Linked DNA regions of Oryctolagus cuniculus. The protein of the gene in region 3 purifies or fractionates together with the protein of the main gene of each other region. This does not show direct contact. Links are inferred from orthologs where the notes say so. Each region holds a gene or a part of one and is shown on either strand. Other genes may lie near its edges.

Evidence for each region.
Region 1: the proteins of DDX23 (region 3) and SNRNP200 purify together in Homo sapiens (affinity purification with mass spectrometry; 3 studies listed by BioGRID and IntAct, counting the BioPlex papers as one, with this or other methods). This does not show direct contact. The link is inferred for Oryctolagus cuniculus from reciprocal best matches to the Homo sapiens genes DDX23 and SNRNP200.
Region 2: the proteins of DDX23 (region 3) and TSSC4 purify together in Homo sapiens (affinity purification with mass spectrometry; 3 studies listed by BioGRID and IntAct, with this or other methods). This does not show direct contact. The link is inferred for Oryctolagus cuniculus from reciprocal best matches to the Homo sapiens genes DDX23 and TSSC4.

Annotation. Positions count from the first base shown.
Region 1 is NC_091433.1:111,274,554-111,279,571, reverse strand, and holds the start of SNRNP200 (U5 small nuclear ribonucleoprotein 200 kDa helicase), read right to left. Parts: upstream 3,052-5,018; 5' UTR 2,879-3,051; coding exon 2,834-2,878; intron 2,314-2,833; coding exon 2,150-2,313; intron 647-2,149; coding exon 475-646; intron 1-474. UniProt on the Homo sapiens protein: Catalyzes the ATP-dependent unwinding of U4/U6 RNA duplices, an essential step in the assembly of a catalytically active spliceosome. Plays a role in pre-mRNA splicing as a core component of precatalytic, catalytic and postcatalytic spliceosomal complexes.
Region 2 is NC_091432.1:1,158,766-1,163,762, forward strand, and holds TSSC4 (U5 small nuclear ribonucleoprotein TSSC4), read right to left. Parts: upstream 2,794-4,997; 5' UTR 2,708-2,793; coding exon 2,662-2,707; exon of another isoform or gene 1,821-2,661; coding exon 1,741-1,820; exon of another isoform or gene 1,650-1,740; coding exon 819-1,649; 3' UTR 752-818; downstream 1-751. Other genes in the region: CD81 antigen, read right to left, coding at 3,941-4,003, 4,080-4,166, 4,902-4,997. UniProt on the Homo sapiens protein: Protein associated with the U5 snRNP, during its maturation and its post-splicing recycling and which is required for spliceosomal tri-snRNP complex assembly in the nucleus.
Region 3 is NC_091442.1:52,328,102-52,333,399, forward strand, and holds the start of DDX23 (probable ATP-dependent RNA helicase DDX23), read right to left. Parts: upstream 3,368-5,298; 5' UTR 3,218-3,367; intron 1-3,217. UniProt on the Homo sapiens protein: Involved in pre-mRNA splicing and its phosphorylated form (by SRPK2) is required for spliceosomal B complex formation.

The DNA.
Region 1 (5,018 bases), on a different chromosome or scaffold from region 3:
TCTGAGTGTCAGTTAAGGTCCTGGCACCTCTGCTGCTGCTCCAGCTTCCTGCTAATGCACCCCACAGCAGATGACGGCTCAAGTGTTTGGGCCCTTCCACCCACATGGGAGACCCCGATGGAGTTTCAGGCTCCTGGCTTTGGCCTGGCCCAGCTCTGGATGTTGCAGGCATATGGGGAGTGAACCTGTGGATGGAAGACCAATCAACTGATAGCTCTCTGTCACTCTCCCTTTCAAGTAGACCAAAAGAACCAATTTTTTTTTAATAGCATCAATCCATAGAGTTGATGTAAAAGGAGGAAAAAACCATGTAAAGTATCATTTCACTTCAACCAAACACTTCGTAAATACTAGTCACTTCCGCAAGTTGGTATGAGCCACACAGGGAAATCCAGAGACAAGGTTCTTCTGGTGTCCCCCAGCCGTCACCCCCTCCCTTCCCAAGCACAGGCACTCACTCTCTGGCGGCCTCACCTGGTCCCCAAGCGCAGCCTGGATGAAGCTGAGCAGCACCTCATACGTCTCCCGGGTCTCCTTGGTTTTGGGCTTGTAGATGATGCCCACCATCTCATCAATGCCCTCCGACAGCAGGGTATAACCCTTCATCTTGTTGATGTCATGCCGGTCCTCGTCACGCTTTCTTCGCCTAAGGGACACACAGTGTGACATTCCACAGGAGAACCTTGCCTCCCCAAGACAAGAAGAGAATCAAGCCCTCCCTCCTCAGTATCACCGTACACCTGCACCGCAACAAATGAGCCCCATTTCACCTTAATCATTTGCACAAGTATTTCTTTGTAGGACACAGTAACAGAAAGGAAGTGTTCACCCTCTCACTAAGTTCACTAAATGTTACAAGACAGGGTTATCATTAATTTAAAAACACGAGTAGGCATGCAGTACAGCACTCAGTAAGATGCCACTTGGACATCCACAGCCCATATTGGAACATCTGGCTTCAATTCTAACTCCACTTCCAGCTTCAGCTTCCTACTAATACACACATATCCTGGGAGGCAGCAGGAGACGGTTCAGGTGTGTAGGTCCTTGCCACCACACAGGAAACCTAGGTTGCCTTCCAGTCTCCTGGCCTCAACCTGGACCAGCTGCAGCTAACATGGGCATTTATGAAGTAAACGAGCAGATGTGAGTTCTTTAATCGGCCTGTCTCTATCTCTCAGATGAAATAAATTCAAAATACAAAGGGGCCAGTGCTGTGGCCTAGCAGTTATGCTGCCATCTGTAATGCCAGCATCTCCCATCAGAGCAGTGATTCAAGTCTCTGTTACTCGGCTTCCAATTCAGGTCCCTGATAATGTGCTGGTAAAGCAAGGGAAAGTGGCCCCAAGTACTTGTGTTCCTGCCACCCACATGAAGACCCAAATGGAATTCCAGGCTCCAGGTTTCAGCCTGGCCCAACCCCAGCCATTGCAACCACTCAGGGAATGAACCAGCACATGGAAAATCCCTTTCTCTCTATTTGTTACTCTGTTTTTCAAAAATAAATGTCTTAAAAAATTAAAAACCTACTGAGATGAGAAATACCAAAGGTCTTAAAGATACCCTCAAGAAAATTAAGATGTTTATGGACCAGAAACACAAAAAGGTACCAGTATTTTCCACTTGGGTGTACTTTATTTATTTTTTTAAGGTTTTATTTATTTACTGAGAGGTATAGTTACAGACATAGAGAGGGAGAGACAGACAGAAAGGTCTTCCAATTCGCTGGGCCACTCCCCAAATGGCCCCAGTGGCTGGAGCTATGCCTATCTGAAGCCAGGAGCCAGGAGCTTCTTCCGGGTCTCCTACTCGGGTACAGGGACTTGGACCATCTTCTACTGCTTTCCCAGGCCAAAGCAGAGGGCTGGACTGGAAGATGAGCAGCTGGGACTAGAACCAGCGCCCATAATGGGATGCTGGCAGAGCAGGTGGAGAATTAACCCACTACGCCACAGCGCCAGCCCTCAAAGTGTATTTGCTAAGGCCGTAGAATCTTCAAACTCTCATGTTCAGCTTTTACCTTCACCAATCTGTTTTAATGCCACTGCTGTCCAATCTTGCAACACGCACTTCAACAAAAACACTACTAATTGCTAAGGAAAAGACAGACTTCGGTTCTGAAGAAAAACAGGACTCCATCGGTACTTACTTGGCTCTTCTTTCCTCCTGCATCTGTGGTTTGGTCCGTTGTGCCTTATCTCCCATTCGGGTGCCCTCCAGCTTCCCAACCAGGGACAGCACCTCTCCGGTGGGTTCATCTCGGCGGGTTCGGTCAATGAGAGACCGGTCAGCTTGGAGCACAAGATTCGAGTTCTGAAAAGATCAGACCACTGCTGAAGCTCTGACATACGCGAGGCCAGTTCCTGCAGCACCCTGATCCCAGCTCAAGAGTCACAATGAGCGTTAATAACCACTAGCCGGAATATAAAGGTATATAATTTGAAAAGAAATAGCAACACATAACGCTAAGCACGAGCACAGGGCTGATAAGCCCTACGTGCCGTCTATCAGTTGAACAATGCTGGCTTCTAACCATAACAACCCTCATGCGGGAAGTACTGAGCGAGTGGAGAGGGACAGGTGAAGGGGCGGGTTGAACGCTGAAAGGCTTGGCAGCCCGGTCCCACAGAGCTCTCCGCCTTGTCCTGCCCGCCCCAGGCCCCGGTGCGATAATCCGTATCGTCGCATACCCAAACTTTCGCCCCGATCCGATTTCGCCTCCGATTTCGTGGCTTTCCTGCAGGCCTTGAGACTGAACCTCCCACTCGCAGCTTGCCGCCTCCCCTATACACTACACTGCCTCCCCCGAGTCCTCCCCTAAGCCCATACGCACCGCCTTGTACTCGTACTGCAGGCTTCGGGCGGTCACGTCCGCCATGGCGGCAGCCGCTCCTGGCTCTCAGAGATCCACTCCTCCTCACCGCACGCTGAAAACCGCGCTGCTCTCGGTTGAGGACTTCAACAACGCAGGAGAGACGCAACGGAGGGGAAGGAGACGGACTAATTTCCGCTTCCGGGTCGCGCGCCGGAAGTGCGGGGCGGGCCGGGTTTCTGGCAGGCGCGCGCCGCTTCCCGCTGCCTTCTGGGTGGAGCGGTTGGGACTTGTGCTTCCGGGTCTTGGCCCTTCAGAGCTAGGGGCGCCACAGTGCTTAGGGGTCGGGCCTCGGGTCCCGGCCAAGGCACCTTCCACCGTATCGGGATGCACGCCTCCTTTGCGCCTATCCTATGCGCAGCCTCTTTTATATTTATTTATTTGAAAGAGTTAGAAAAACAGAGCAGTCTGCCATCCGCTGGATAACCCCAGGTGGTCGCAATGGCCAGGGCTGGGTCAGGCTGAAGCCAGGAGCCAGGGGCTTCTTCCAGGTCTCCCACGTGGGTGGCAGGGACCCAAACATTAGGCCATCTGACAGTGCTTTTCCCAGGCCACTAGCAGGGAGCTGACTCGGAAGAGGAGCAGCCGGACAGGAACCAGCGCCGGTGTGGCAGGTGCGGCTTTACCCCCACCCCAGGCCTTTTTCTCCAGCTGCTTCCGCTGACTCTGGCAACAGCCCTGGGAAGGCCCCCGGCAAGGAGAGGCCAGTTAGCCTTCCATTTCTGGAAGAGGAAACTGAAGCGCTAGAAAGCAACAGAATCGTGTGTTTCTCTTCCGTATGGAACAACAGAGAAAGCTCCGTCCCCCACCCATCCCACTAACCCCCATGCCCTCGAGGCCCTGGTTCTTGCCCAGCGGAATGAGCAGGGCCAGATCTTTTTGTTCAGGCGTCACATTCCGTGGCAGGGCCGTCTCCACCTCACCGAGGAACTTGGGTGAATGTGGCAGCCCTCCTGGCGGGAGGAACTCCTTGAGGACAGTAACAGTTGCTTCCCAAAGCCCAGGACTGGTAGGCACCGCCCCCTCACCCACCCCTACCATGTCTCACAGGTGGAATGGCAGCTTACAGATGAATGCTTGCATGTTTGCTTCTGAAAAAATGACTGAATAGTAGGATGGGTATTGGCCGGCGCCGCGGCTCACTAGGCTAATCCTCCGCCTGCGGCGCCGGCACACCGGGTTCTAGTCCCGGTCGGGGCGCCGGATTCTGTTCCAGTTGCTCCTCTTCCAGGCCAGCTCTCTGCTGTGGCCCAGGAAGGCAGTGGAGGATGGCCCAAGTGCTTGGGCCCTGCACCCACATGGGAGACCAGGAGAAGCACCTGGCTCCTGGCTTCGGATCGGCGCAGCTCCGGCCGTTGCGGCCATTTAGGGAGTGAACCAATGGAAGGAAGACCTTTCTCTCTGTCTCTGCCTCTCACTGTCTGTAACTCTACCTCTCAAATAAATAAAATCTTAAAAAAAAAAAAAAAGATTTACTTATTTAGAGGCCAGTACTGTGGTGCAGCAAGTTAAGCTGCCTCTGTAGTGCCACCATCCCATGTGGGTACCAGGTGGAGTCCGCCTGCTCCACTTCCAATCCAGCTCCCTGCTGATGTGCCCAAGAAAGCAGCAGAGGTTGGCCCAAGTGCTTGGGCCCCTGCACCCACATGCAAGACCTGGATGAAGTTCTGGGCTCTCTTTTATTTTATTTGTTTATTTGGAAGTCAGAGTTACACATAGAGAGAGGAAGAATCAGAGAGAGAGATCTTCCATCTACTGGTTCACTTCCCAAATGGCCACAATGGCCTGGGTTGGGCCCAGGAGTCAGGAGCTGCTTCTAGATCTCCCACATGGTTGTAGGAGTCCAAGCACTTGGGCCATTTCCACTACTTTCCCAGGCACATTAGCAGGGAGCTGGATCAGAAGTGGAGCAGCCGGGTCTTAAACCAACCCCCGTATGGGATGCCAGCTTCACAGCTTCACCTGCTACGCCACAATGCCAGCCCCTCCTAAAATGTTTTTTTTAGTTGTTTTTAAAGTTGCTGCCCAGGATTTGCAGGACTTTGCATCCATTTCCTCAACCTGAGTAAGAATTTACCACACACTGTTTAGAAAATGAATCATGGTGGTGTCCAGGGAGAGTTGAAATGGAGTGGGAAGACTTAGG
Region 2 (4,997 bases), on a different chromosome or scaffold from region 3:
GGGGCAGGGCGGCCGCCCCTGTGCCGGCTCCGGCAGTGTCCCCACCCCTGAACCCAAAGTGGCTCTATTTCCGGTGCTCCCTGGAGCCCACATCCCCTCCAACCCAGGTCAAACCACAGTGTCCACACGGGGGCAGGCCTTGGCTCCTGGGCTACCCACACCACCCACTGAGCTGAGTCACAACCAGGCCGAGCCCTCAAGGGTCAAGGGAGTGGGGGACAGACATGCTCGCTCCGTGGGCCTCCCCCAGCAGACCTGGGGAACCCACCCTTTGTCCCCCATGGCCCATGCTGGGCTGGAGTCCTGGCACAAGACCCCAGATGCCGGCTCTGCACCCCGTCCTGACAGTCTGGGTGGGGCACAGCCAGAGGCGAGCGTGGGCACGGCTACAGGACCACTCAGGCCTGTCCGGCACCATGCTGGACTCCTGTGGCCTGACCCCAGCCCAGGGGGACCCCTCAGCCCCTCCAGGCCGGCACTGTGCGCAGCAGGTAAAGCCGCCTCCTGTATGTGTGGTTCCAGTCCCGGCTGCTCCACTCTGACCCAACTCCCTGCCGCTGCAGCTGGGAGAGCAGCAGACGGCCCCTGTGCCACTGCGGCTCTCTGGGGAGTGGACCAGTGCACGCAAGACCTCTCTATCTTTCAAAATTAAAAGCAAACAAAAACCCAGAGAAGCGGAACACTGGGGCCGTCACTCTGCAGGGTCCGAGCGGGGCTGGGGGCCCAGGGGGAGTGAGACGACAGACAGGACCCGAGGACACCCAACACCTTTATTGTCACCCATGGAGCCCCGGGCCCCCGGCCGCGGCCCGGCCCGCTCACCCCTCAGCCGCTGGGCCCTCGCAGCCGCTGCCCCTGTTCCGGAAGTGCTCCCGGCTCCGCTTCCTGGCGCCGTGGAAGCCGACGGCGTCCAGGCCGGGGGGCCCTGGCGAGGCCCCTCTGTGGGCAGCCGCGGGGGACGCGTCTTCCTCCTGCAGGCCGCCGGGGGTGCCGCCCCTCTCCTCGGCCTCTGGGCTCCCGGGCCCGGCCAGGTGGGGCAGCTCCACCGCCTCGGTCCCCGGGAGGCCCCTGCCCGGCTGCGCGCCCTGCCCCAGGCCCCTCTTCCTCTCGGGCCTGGGCTCGCGGGCTCGGGCCGGTCTGGTGAAGACCACCCTGCCCTCCCCGCAGCTGGAGGAGTCCTGGTTGAAGGCGGGCGCGCAGGCGGCGGGGGCGGCCGGGCCCCGCGCGCCCAGGAAGGCCAGCGCCGCCGCCCGGTTGCTCTGCTCGCTGGCCTCGGCCACGTCCTCGAGGCTGTACCTGGTCCAGCGCTCCGGGTGCGCCACGTAGTCGGGGACACGCGGGCCCCTGGGGGCGCCGGCCGCCCCCTCCAGGCCGTCAAAGACGCTGTGGCTGCGCCGGGAGAAGGCGGAGCTCGTGCCCCGGAGGCAGAACGGCTGGGCCGCAGGGGCGGGGGGCGCCGGGGGCGGCGAGGGGGGCTCGGAGTCCTCTGAGTCCGCGGGCAGGTCTACACACGGCGCGGCCGCCTCGGCACCGCCAGAGCTGAGGTCCGAGTCCGAGTCCGAGCCCGAGTCGCTGGGGAAGTCGGCGTCGTCGGGGGGCGCGGCGTCCCCCTCGGCCCCCGCCTGGGCCATGGCCCCGTCCCACGGCACCTGCGGGGAAGCAGCCCGCGGGGAGGGGGCAGCTCAGGGTCGCCGGCCCACGCGGCCGCAGCAGCGGGCCCCTCCCCGGCCCGGCTCTCACCTCCCCCGTCCGCCCACGGAGGTCCTCGGTGGCCCCGGCGTGGGCTCCTCGGTGGCCTCGGCTCCGCTGCTCAGACGGGGCTGGGTGAGGGGCGGGGGACAGAGCCCGCGTCAGAGCGCGGGGCCGGCCGCAAGCTGCCTGGGACGAGGCGGAGCCCAGGGCTGGGCCCCAGGGCCCGGGCCGCGGCCACCCCGGCGGGGTCGGGCTCGCGAGCGCGCTCAAGGGTCAGCTCGAGCGGCCTTGCTGGGCAGAGGCCGCCCCCGCGGCCCCGGACACGACCCCCACCCGCGCTCCCGAGGGGCTGGCTGCAGGACAGCCCGGGCGCACCCTCCACACGGCGCTCCCCGCCTCGGGCCGACCCAGGCGCGGCGCAGCACCTCCTCCCGCGGAGCAGCCGCAGGAGGAGCGCTGGGCCCAGCAGGGACCGCGGCGAGCGCGCCCTGGGCTGGGGAGGCCGGGATCCCGCGACCGGGCCGAGGGGCAGCGGCTCTAGCTGCCTCCGGCCGCCTCTGCCGCGGAGCAGAGCACACCTTCGCCGTGTCAGGGCGGCCGCGCAGAGGGCCCTCCCGGACTTACCGGCTCCTCGTGCCGGCCGCCTTCATTCGGGTTCCCCGCCGGCCGCGCTCAGCCTTTTGGGAAACCGAGTCCCCCGCTAGCCGCGCACTGTGGCCTCCGCGACCGAAGAACTACATCTCCCATAAGCCACCGGGCCTCAGCTCCCGAGCCCTGACGGGACGTGTGCCCCAGTGCGCATGCGCCCACGCCCTTCTCCTTACACCTCCAAGCCCTGCGCCAGGAGCGGGTTCCGGAAACGGAAAAGGCCTAGCGTTGACACGGAGGAAGGGGCGGAGCCAACCGCCACTCCCAGAATGCTCGACTAACGGCGAGGCGCAGGCCTCTCGGAGTTTTAGTGCCACCTACCGGGAGGTGCGGAGACAGCAGCCGACGTAGACAGGAAGTGCGTCATCGCGCACGGTGGAGCAGAAGCCCTTGCCCGCACTTCCGGCCTTCCGAAAGCGGAAGTCGCTGCCCCTTCCCGGGTCCATCCGTCAATGCCCGGGGCGGGCCTGGCAGCCACTGAGCTTGTGGGCTGCGCTGGACGTCGGGAGCCTCTGACGATGTTTCTCCGGTTCCCCGGCCCTCAGGGACAGGCGCGCGGAGCGCTGCCCAGCGGCCCAGGCAGCCGGGGCTGGGCGTGGCCATCCTGGGCAGGTCCGGCCCCGGGCTCTCCCAGACAGGCCTCTCGCTGGCCACCAGGCCCCAAGTGGGCAGCGCCTTTTGCCCCCGTTTCTGCTGGGGCTGCTCGGTGCCCGCCAGACCCCAGCTCCTGAGTCCCTCTCCTGCGGGGGCCTGCTGTCCTGGCACTCACGGGGAGACCGGCGTCTAAGGACCCCGGGGGGGCCAGCCGCGGACAGCAGGCGGGTCATGCACGGCCCAGGCACCTCTGGGACACCCACCCTGTCCTGGCAGCCCCGGGGCCCCAGGCCCTGCACGTCCAGAGGCCAGCCTGGGCCAGCACGGCCCGGGGGGAGTGGAGGGGACTCCTCGCTGCACCTAGTTCTCCCAGGCAACCCTGTCCCCCAGGGGCTGGGAGCAGCAGGAGCCCCCGCCCTCCGCAGGGCCAGCCTCAGTCCTCCCTGGCTGCTGTCCAGGCCGAGGCGGGGCCTTTGCTCTGGCTGCTCCGAGATGCTGCTGAGGCCCGGGGGGCCACCCACGTCTCAGCAGACCTGGGGCCTGCTGCCCGCAGGGAGCCCGGAGCCCGGCCGCCCCCTCCCGCAGCCCGGTGTGCCCCAGGGGCGGTCACCCGCGGAACGCTCCCTGGGTCCTGGTCCCGTCCGCTCCGCGCGGGCTCGGCACAGTCCAGACCCCTCTGTCCCCAGCGCCCCACCCACTGAGACCCCACCGGCCAGGACCGGCGGCCAGCGCGTTAGCATGCCCGATGTCTCCTCCTTTATTACAGACTGTGTCCAGCTGCGGGCGTTACAGTTGAAGGTGACGTTAGAAAGGACAGGTGCTCCCGGAACAGGCAGGAAAGCAACAGGATTAAGAAGGCCCGGCCCCCCTCGGCAGGTGCCCCTGGCACGCGGCGTCAGCCACAGGGGCTCCGGGGGAGACGCAGAGCCCGGAGAGCCGGCAGCTGCGTGCGGAGCGAGCGGGGTGGCTCTGTACAGGCGGCGGGGGCGGCGGGGGCAGCGCGGCCTCAGTACACGGAGCTGTTCCTGATGCCGCAGCACAGCACCATGCTCAGAATCATCTCGAAGATCTGGCGGGAGGGGGGCGGTCAGCGGGGGCCGGCGGGGCGGGGCGGCCCCCCCCCCCCCGCCCGCCTGCCCGCTCACCATGATCACGGCCACCACGATGGCCGCGATGCCGATGAGGTACAGCTTCCCCGAGAACAGCTCGTCAATCTTCTGGTGGCAGTCCTCCTGCGGGGAGGGCAACCTCAGCTCCCACCTGCCCTGGCGGCACCCCGGAGGGCCCAGCTAGGCGGCCTCTGCCCACGCGGGGGAGGCGACCTCAGCTCCCACCCGAGGGCCCAGCTAGGCGGCCTCTGCCCACGCAGGGGAGGGCCCAGCTAGGTGGCCTCTGCCCACGCGGGGGAGGGCGACCTCAGCTCCCACCTGCCCTGGTGGCGCCCCCGAGGGCCCAGCTAGGGGGCCTCTGCCCACGCGGGGGAGGGCGACCTCAGCTCCCACCTGCCCTGGCGGCGCCCCCGAGGGCCCAGCTAGGCGGCCTCTGCCCACGCGGGGGAGGGTCCAGCTAGGGGGCCTCTGCCCACGTGGGGGAGGGGTGACCTCAGCTCCCACCTGAGGGCCTAGCTAGGGGGCCTCTGCCCACGCGGGGGAGAGCGACCTCAGCTCCGACCCGAGGGCTCAGCTAGGGGGCCTCTGCCCACGTGGGGGAGGGCGACCTCAGCTCCCACCCCAGGGCCCAGTTAGGCGGCCTCTGCCCACGCGGGGGAGGTGACCTCAGCTCCCACCCCAGGGCCCAGTTAGGCGGCCTCTGCCCACGCAGGGGAGGGCGACCTCAGCTCCCACCCCAGGGCCCAGCTAGGCGGCCGCTGCGCACGCGGGGGAGGCGACCTCAGCTGGGGCCGACATCCTGCCCCGCCCCTCCGGGCCCAGGAGCCCCCCCCCCCCCCCCCCCCCCGCCGCGGGCACCTTGAAGAAGTTGCTGATGAAGTTGCTGCCCGAGGGACACAGGTTGTTCTTGAGCACCGAGGTGGTGAGCGCCGTCAGCGAGTTGGAGCCGCAGCA
Region 3 (5,298 bases):
AGGATTAGCCTATTGAGCCGCGACGCCAGCCCTGGCTCCTGAATTTCATGTTGGAAACCTGGTTCCCAATACAGCAGTCTTGAGAAGTGGGATCTTTGGCTGATGATCTGGCTGATGAAGGCAATGCCCTCATAAATTGATAAATACATTCAGGTAACTGATGGGTTATTATGGGAGCGGCTTTGCTATAAAAGCAAGCTCTCAACGTAGTGCCCAAATCATTTTGCTTTAAAAGGTTGTAACAAATATAGATGAGTTGGAAGAAAAAAAAAAAAAAAAGGCAAGCTTTCTCTGGTATGCCTGCTGTCTTGCCACACTATGATGTGGCATGTAGGTACCACAGCACGCTCTTTAACTTGCCGGTTTCCAGAACTGCAATCAATTAACGTCTACTCTAGAACTGCCCAGTTGCAGGTATGCTGTTACAGTAACAGAAAGCAGACTAAGACAAGTCCTGAGAGAACAGTCCAGAAAAGAGGACATCTTTCCTACAAGGCAGCCTGAACATCATTCATTCTTTTAGTAAATATTCACTGAGCATGTATAAGGTGGCAGAAATTAGCAGTAACTAAACCAAGTCTCTGGGGGCCACAGTTGTGCTAGGAGTTAAGATGCCACTTGGGAGTCCCGGCTGCTCCACTTCTGATCCAGCTTCCTGCTCATGGGCCTGGGAAGAGAGCAGATGACCCCTGCCACCCAGGCAGGGGATCAGGGTGGAGTTCCTGGCTCCTAGCTTCAGCCTGGCCCAGACACAGCTGTTGTCACTACTTGGGGGGGAGTGAACCAGCAGATGAAAAATCTCTTTCTGCCTTAAGTCTTCCAAACAAAACAAAACACAAACAAAACCAAAGAAACCAGGGGAGGTGGGCATGTTGTGGCATAGCAGGTTAAGCCGCTGCTTGTAACACAGGCATCTCATATCAGGGTGCTGGTTCCAGTACCAGCTGCTCTGCTTCTCAGTCAGCTTCCTGATAAGGCTCCTCTTAGAAAGGGAGCAGAAGATGGCCCCAGTGCTCAGGACCATTTGGTAGATGGGTACCAACATCTGGAAGATCTGTCTCTGTAGCTCTCCCTCTCTGTCCCTCTACCTTTCAAGTAAATAAATCTTTAAAAAAATTTTTAAAAAAAGGCAATATAGTAGAGTGAATTTCAAATAGTTATGAACAAGGAGAATAAAATGGGGTGACATGAACAAGAGATGGATGGCTCAAGAAAGAATTTTTAGTTTATATTTAAACTGAGACTTCCATGATGGGAAAGACAGAACCAGATCTGTTCAGGGAGAATAATTCATTGGGTAGAAGAGACAGCAAGTACTAAAGTACTGAGGCAGGAGTTAGCTTAGATGTCTGCAACTAAAAATCAAACTGTAGGGCCAGCATTGTGGCACAGCGGACAAAGCAGCCTGTGATGTCGGCATTCCATGTGGGCACTGTTTCAAGTCCTGGCTGCTTCACTGCTAATGCACCTGGGAAAGCAGTAGAGGATGGCCCAAGTGCTTGGGCCCCTGCACCCACATGCGAGACCCAGAGGAAGCTCTGGGCTCCTGGCTTCAGCCTGACACAGGCTGGCCATTGTGGCCACTTCTGGAGTGAACCAGTGCGTGCAAGATTTCTCTCTCTGTCTCTCCTTCTCACTCTGTAACTCTGCCTTTCAAATAAATAAAAAATAAATTTCTTTAAAAAAGAAAATAGCTCCTAAATTTGTGGTCTGAACAGTCTGTTAGTTTGAGTTGCTGATAGAGAACCAACCAAAGACTGGGGAAGGAAGAGATTGAGGACGGAACCAAAAGTTCCTTTCGGCCAGGTTGCAGCTGAGACCTCTGTAATAAGACAGCCAAGAGGGGAGTCTCAGAAGGCATATGGAAATGCAAACCTGGAACTCAACAGAGGGTCTGGGGACAACCATGAGTCACAGGTACATAGCTTTTGAAGCCACAGAGCACTAAATGATATTACCCAGTTAGGAAGTAGAGTTAAAGAAAGAAAAAGAAGAGAACCCCATAGTAAGTTCTGGGACACTCTAAACACTTAAGGGTCAGGCACAGCAGCAGTAAGAAATATTGTAGAGACTGGCGCTGTGGCATAGTGGGTAAAGCCGCCGCCTGTAGTGCTGGCATCCCATATGGGTGCCGGTTCAAGTCCTGGGTACTCCACTTCTGATCCAGCTCTCTGCTGTGGCCTGAGAAAGCAGTACAAGATGGCCCAAGTCCTTGGGCCCCTGCATCTGCATGGGAGACCTGGAAGAATCTCCTGGCTTTGGATGGGAGCAGCTCCAGCTGTTGCAGCCAATTGGGGAGTGAACCAGAGGATGGAAGACCTCACTCTCTCTCTGCCTCTCTCTGTAACGCAAATAAATGAAATAAATCTTAAAAAAAAAAAAAAAAAAAAAAAAAAAAAGATTAGGGGGCAGAGAAGTGAGTACAGCATTTGGGGAAATAGAGATTATTTGTGACCTTGACAAGAGCTGTCTCAGTGGCACAGAGCAAACCAGAAACTCAAGTGGACTCCGGCCATGCCTCCCAGCAGCCTTCCTCTCCAATTTCCTGAACTTTTTAGTTCCTCCGTTCTTGTACGGCCGGGGCAGGTCTCCCCGCCCCCCCAACTCCCATTCTGTTAAGTATTTTCCAACCATCTACCGCATATAAGGCACAGCGCAGGACACTGTGCGAGTTACAACAGGAAGTCCCATCCCTAAGAAGCTTTACGACAATAGAGGGTCTGAGAACCCATCCTAGTACGGCAGGCTCGCATGAACTAGTAGGGGAGTTCGAAGAAGCACTTCTGCAAGGCTCCACTGAGAAAGTGGCCCTTGATCCCTTAGGGATGGGTAAGGAAAGAAACAACTCCCTAATTCCCGGCCTAATAATACCGACGGCACGGAGGCGGGAAAGTACGGGCTGCTTCTGGGAGAAAAATTCAAGTTCCAGTGTGACTGCGGCACCGGGCTACGAGAGGCAGGAAACAATCAGTCGTGCCGGCGGCCAAAGGTCTGAGCCCGGAACATCGTCCAGAACGTGGCCTGAGCCCCAGCAGCCAGCACTCCCCCTGGGGCCCGCGCCCCTGCGCTCCTGCCCGTCTGAGATTTCCCCCGGCTCGCGCCTCTTCCCCGAGGCGTTCTTCCGCGCCTCATCCCGGAGGCAGGGGCCACAGCCATGCCCCCGACACTTGCCTTCTCTACAACCTCGAGGGAACCATCTCCCCTGCCTAGAACTCACCACCCTGAGTCGGAACCGCCCAACGCGGCCTCAACGTCGCCGAACAGCCGCCATCTTTCCCGTTTCCTGGTCGCCGAGATGCACCCCCTTGCCGCGCGGCAAGCTGGGAAGGCGAGTTCGCGGCGCTGGGCAGCTTAAGCCGACAGTAAGGCCCTCAGAACTACCAATCCCAGGATGCACGGCGCCCGCGCCTGCCGAAGGCCGCAGGGACTGCTGGGCAATGTGGTTCGCCAAGCTTGGCGTGTGCGAGGGAAGTTAGCAGTGGGCCGGGTTCCTGCAGATCTTCCCGCGGTTCAGTCTTCCTGGAATCTGCAGGCCTTCCAAAAGCTACGGTAGCGACCGTCGTGGCCCGTGCCTTACACGGTATGAGTTTAAGGCTTTGCATTTCTATAGCATGGCTCTATGATGGGCTACTGCGAGCAACCACAAGTACCGTTTGTGGAAAAGCAAAAATCTCGTTAGATTGTTACCCATTTTATAAGATGAGAGTTGTACAATTCTTTATCGTGAGGAATTCCACCAGGCTTAGGACAGTGTAGCAACCTGCCCCACCAATCTCCCCTACTGTTAACACTTCATCCTCTGATCTGGGCTGTGGCACCTTCTTTCTCTTTCTTTCTTTTTTTTCTTTTCTCTCATTTTCTTTTCTTTTTTAGATTTATTTATTTTATTTGAAGAGCAGGGCTACAGAGAGAGGTCTTGAATCTGCTGGTTCACTCTCCAAATGGCCACAACAGCAGGAGCTGTGCCGATCCAAAGCCAGGAGCCAGGAGCTTCTGCTAGGTCTCCCATGCGGGCGCAGGGGCCCAAGGACTTAGCCCATTTTCTACTGCTTTCCCAGGCCATAGCAGAGAGCTGGATCGGAAGTGGAGCAGCCAGGACTCGAACCAGCGCCCATATGGGATGCCGGCACTGCTGGCGTTGGCTTTACCACTGCGCCACAGCATTGGCCCCATGCATCTTTTTTCTTCAGGTTCCAGTAGGGACCCCTGCAGTCTTTGGGCTACCTTTGTGTTGGTTTGTTTTTTTAAGGTTTTATTTATTTGAGAGGTAGAGTTACAGACAGAGAGAAGGAGAGATCGATTCTCCATCCACTGCTTCACTCCTAGGCCAATCTGAAGCCAGGAGCCAGGAGCTTCTTCCAGGTCTCCCAAGTGGAGACCATCCTCTGCTGCTTTCCCAGGTGCATCAGCAGGAGTTGGATTGGAAGTGGAGCAGCCAGGACTGGAATCAGTGCCCATGTGGGATGCCTGCACCGTAGGCAGAGGCTTAACCTACTACAGCACAGCACCGAACCCTATATGGGTCTCTTTCTTCTTCCTAGTGTCAGCCTCCCACTGAAGCTGTTTTATCACAAATCCTGTGCTCACTTTGCTCACTTTGTTTCTTGTTGGTCTTTTTGGATCATGATTCTTCCCCTAAAGCCGAACCAAGGCCTCTTTCCTTTGTTTTCCCATCATTAGCTTGTCTTGGTTCCCCATGGCTATATATCTGTTTTCTCTTTGAATGTTTTTCTTAGGTAGGAAGTTAGAAATTAGCCTGTGTGTGTGTGTATGTGTGTGTGTGTGTGTGTGTGAGAGAGAGAGAGAGAGAGAGAGAGAGAGAGAGACAGGCCTGAAGACCAGCACCTATTGTGGAAGCTCCAGAAGCCCAGCATTTTGCACTGCAAAGTCCTGCCCAGACCCTGATAACCTCCCAGTTGGTCCCAGAATTCTCTCTCAGGACCAGATGGGTTACCTGACCTGATAACATGGGACCCTAAAACACAGGCACCCTAAAGGAAACCCCTCTACTCTGCCTGGCACCAGCAAATCTGGGGAGGAATTTGCTAATTTCACCCAACAAACCCTTCCACCAAGCTCCCTGTCCTTTGTCCTGGAGGAGAGGGGGAGGTGGGTAAACAGACTCCCTTAACAACCTAGGGAGTCCAAACAGACCATGCATTCAGCCCTCTGCCCTCTGCTGAGCCGCCCGCCTGGCCTGCCCAGGTGTATTCTCTCCATTCAACCATGTAACCTCGCTCTCCCCCAGACGGAGTGACTGGGTGCTCTCTGTCCCTTCTGAGGGATGCCCTGTCCCCA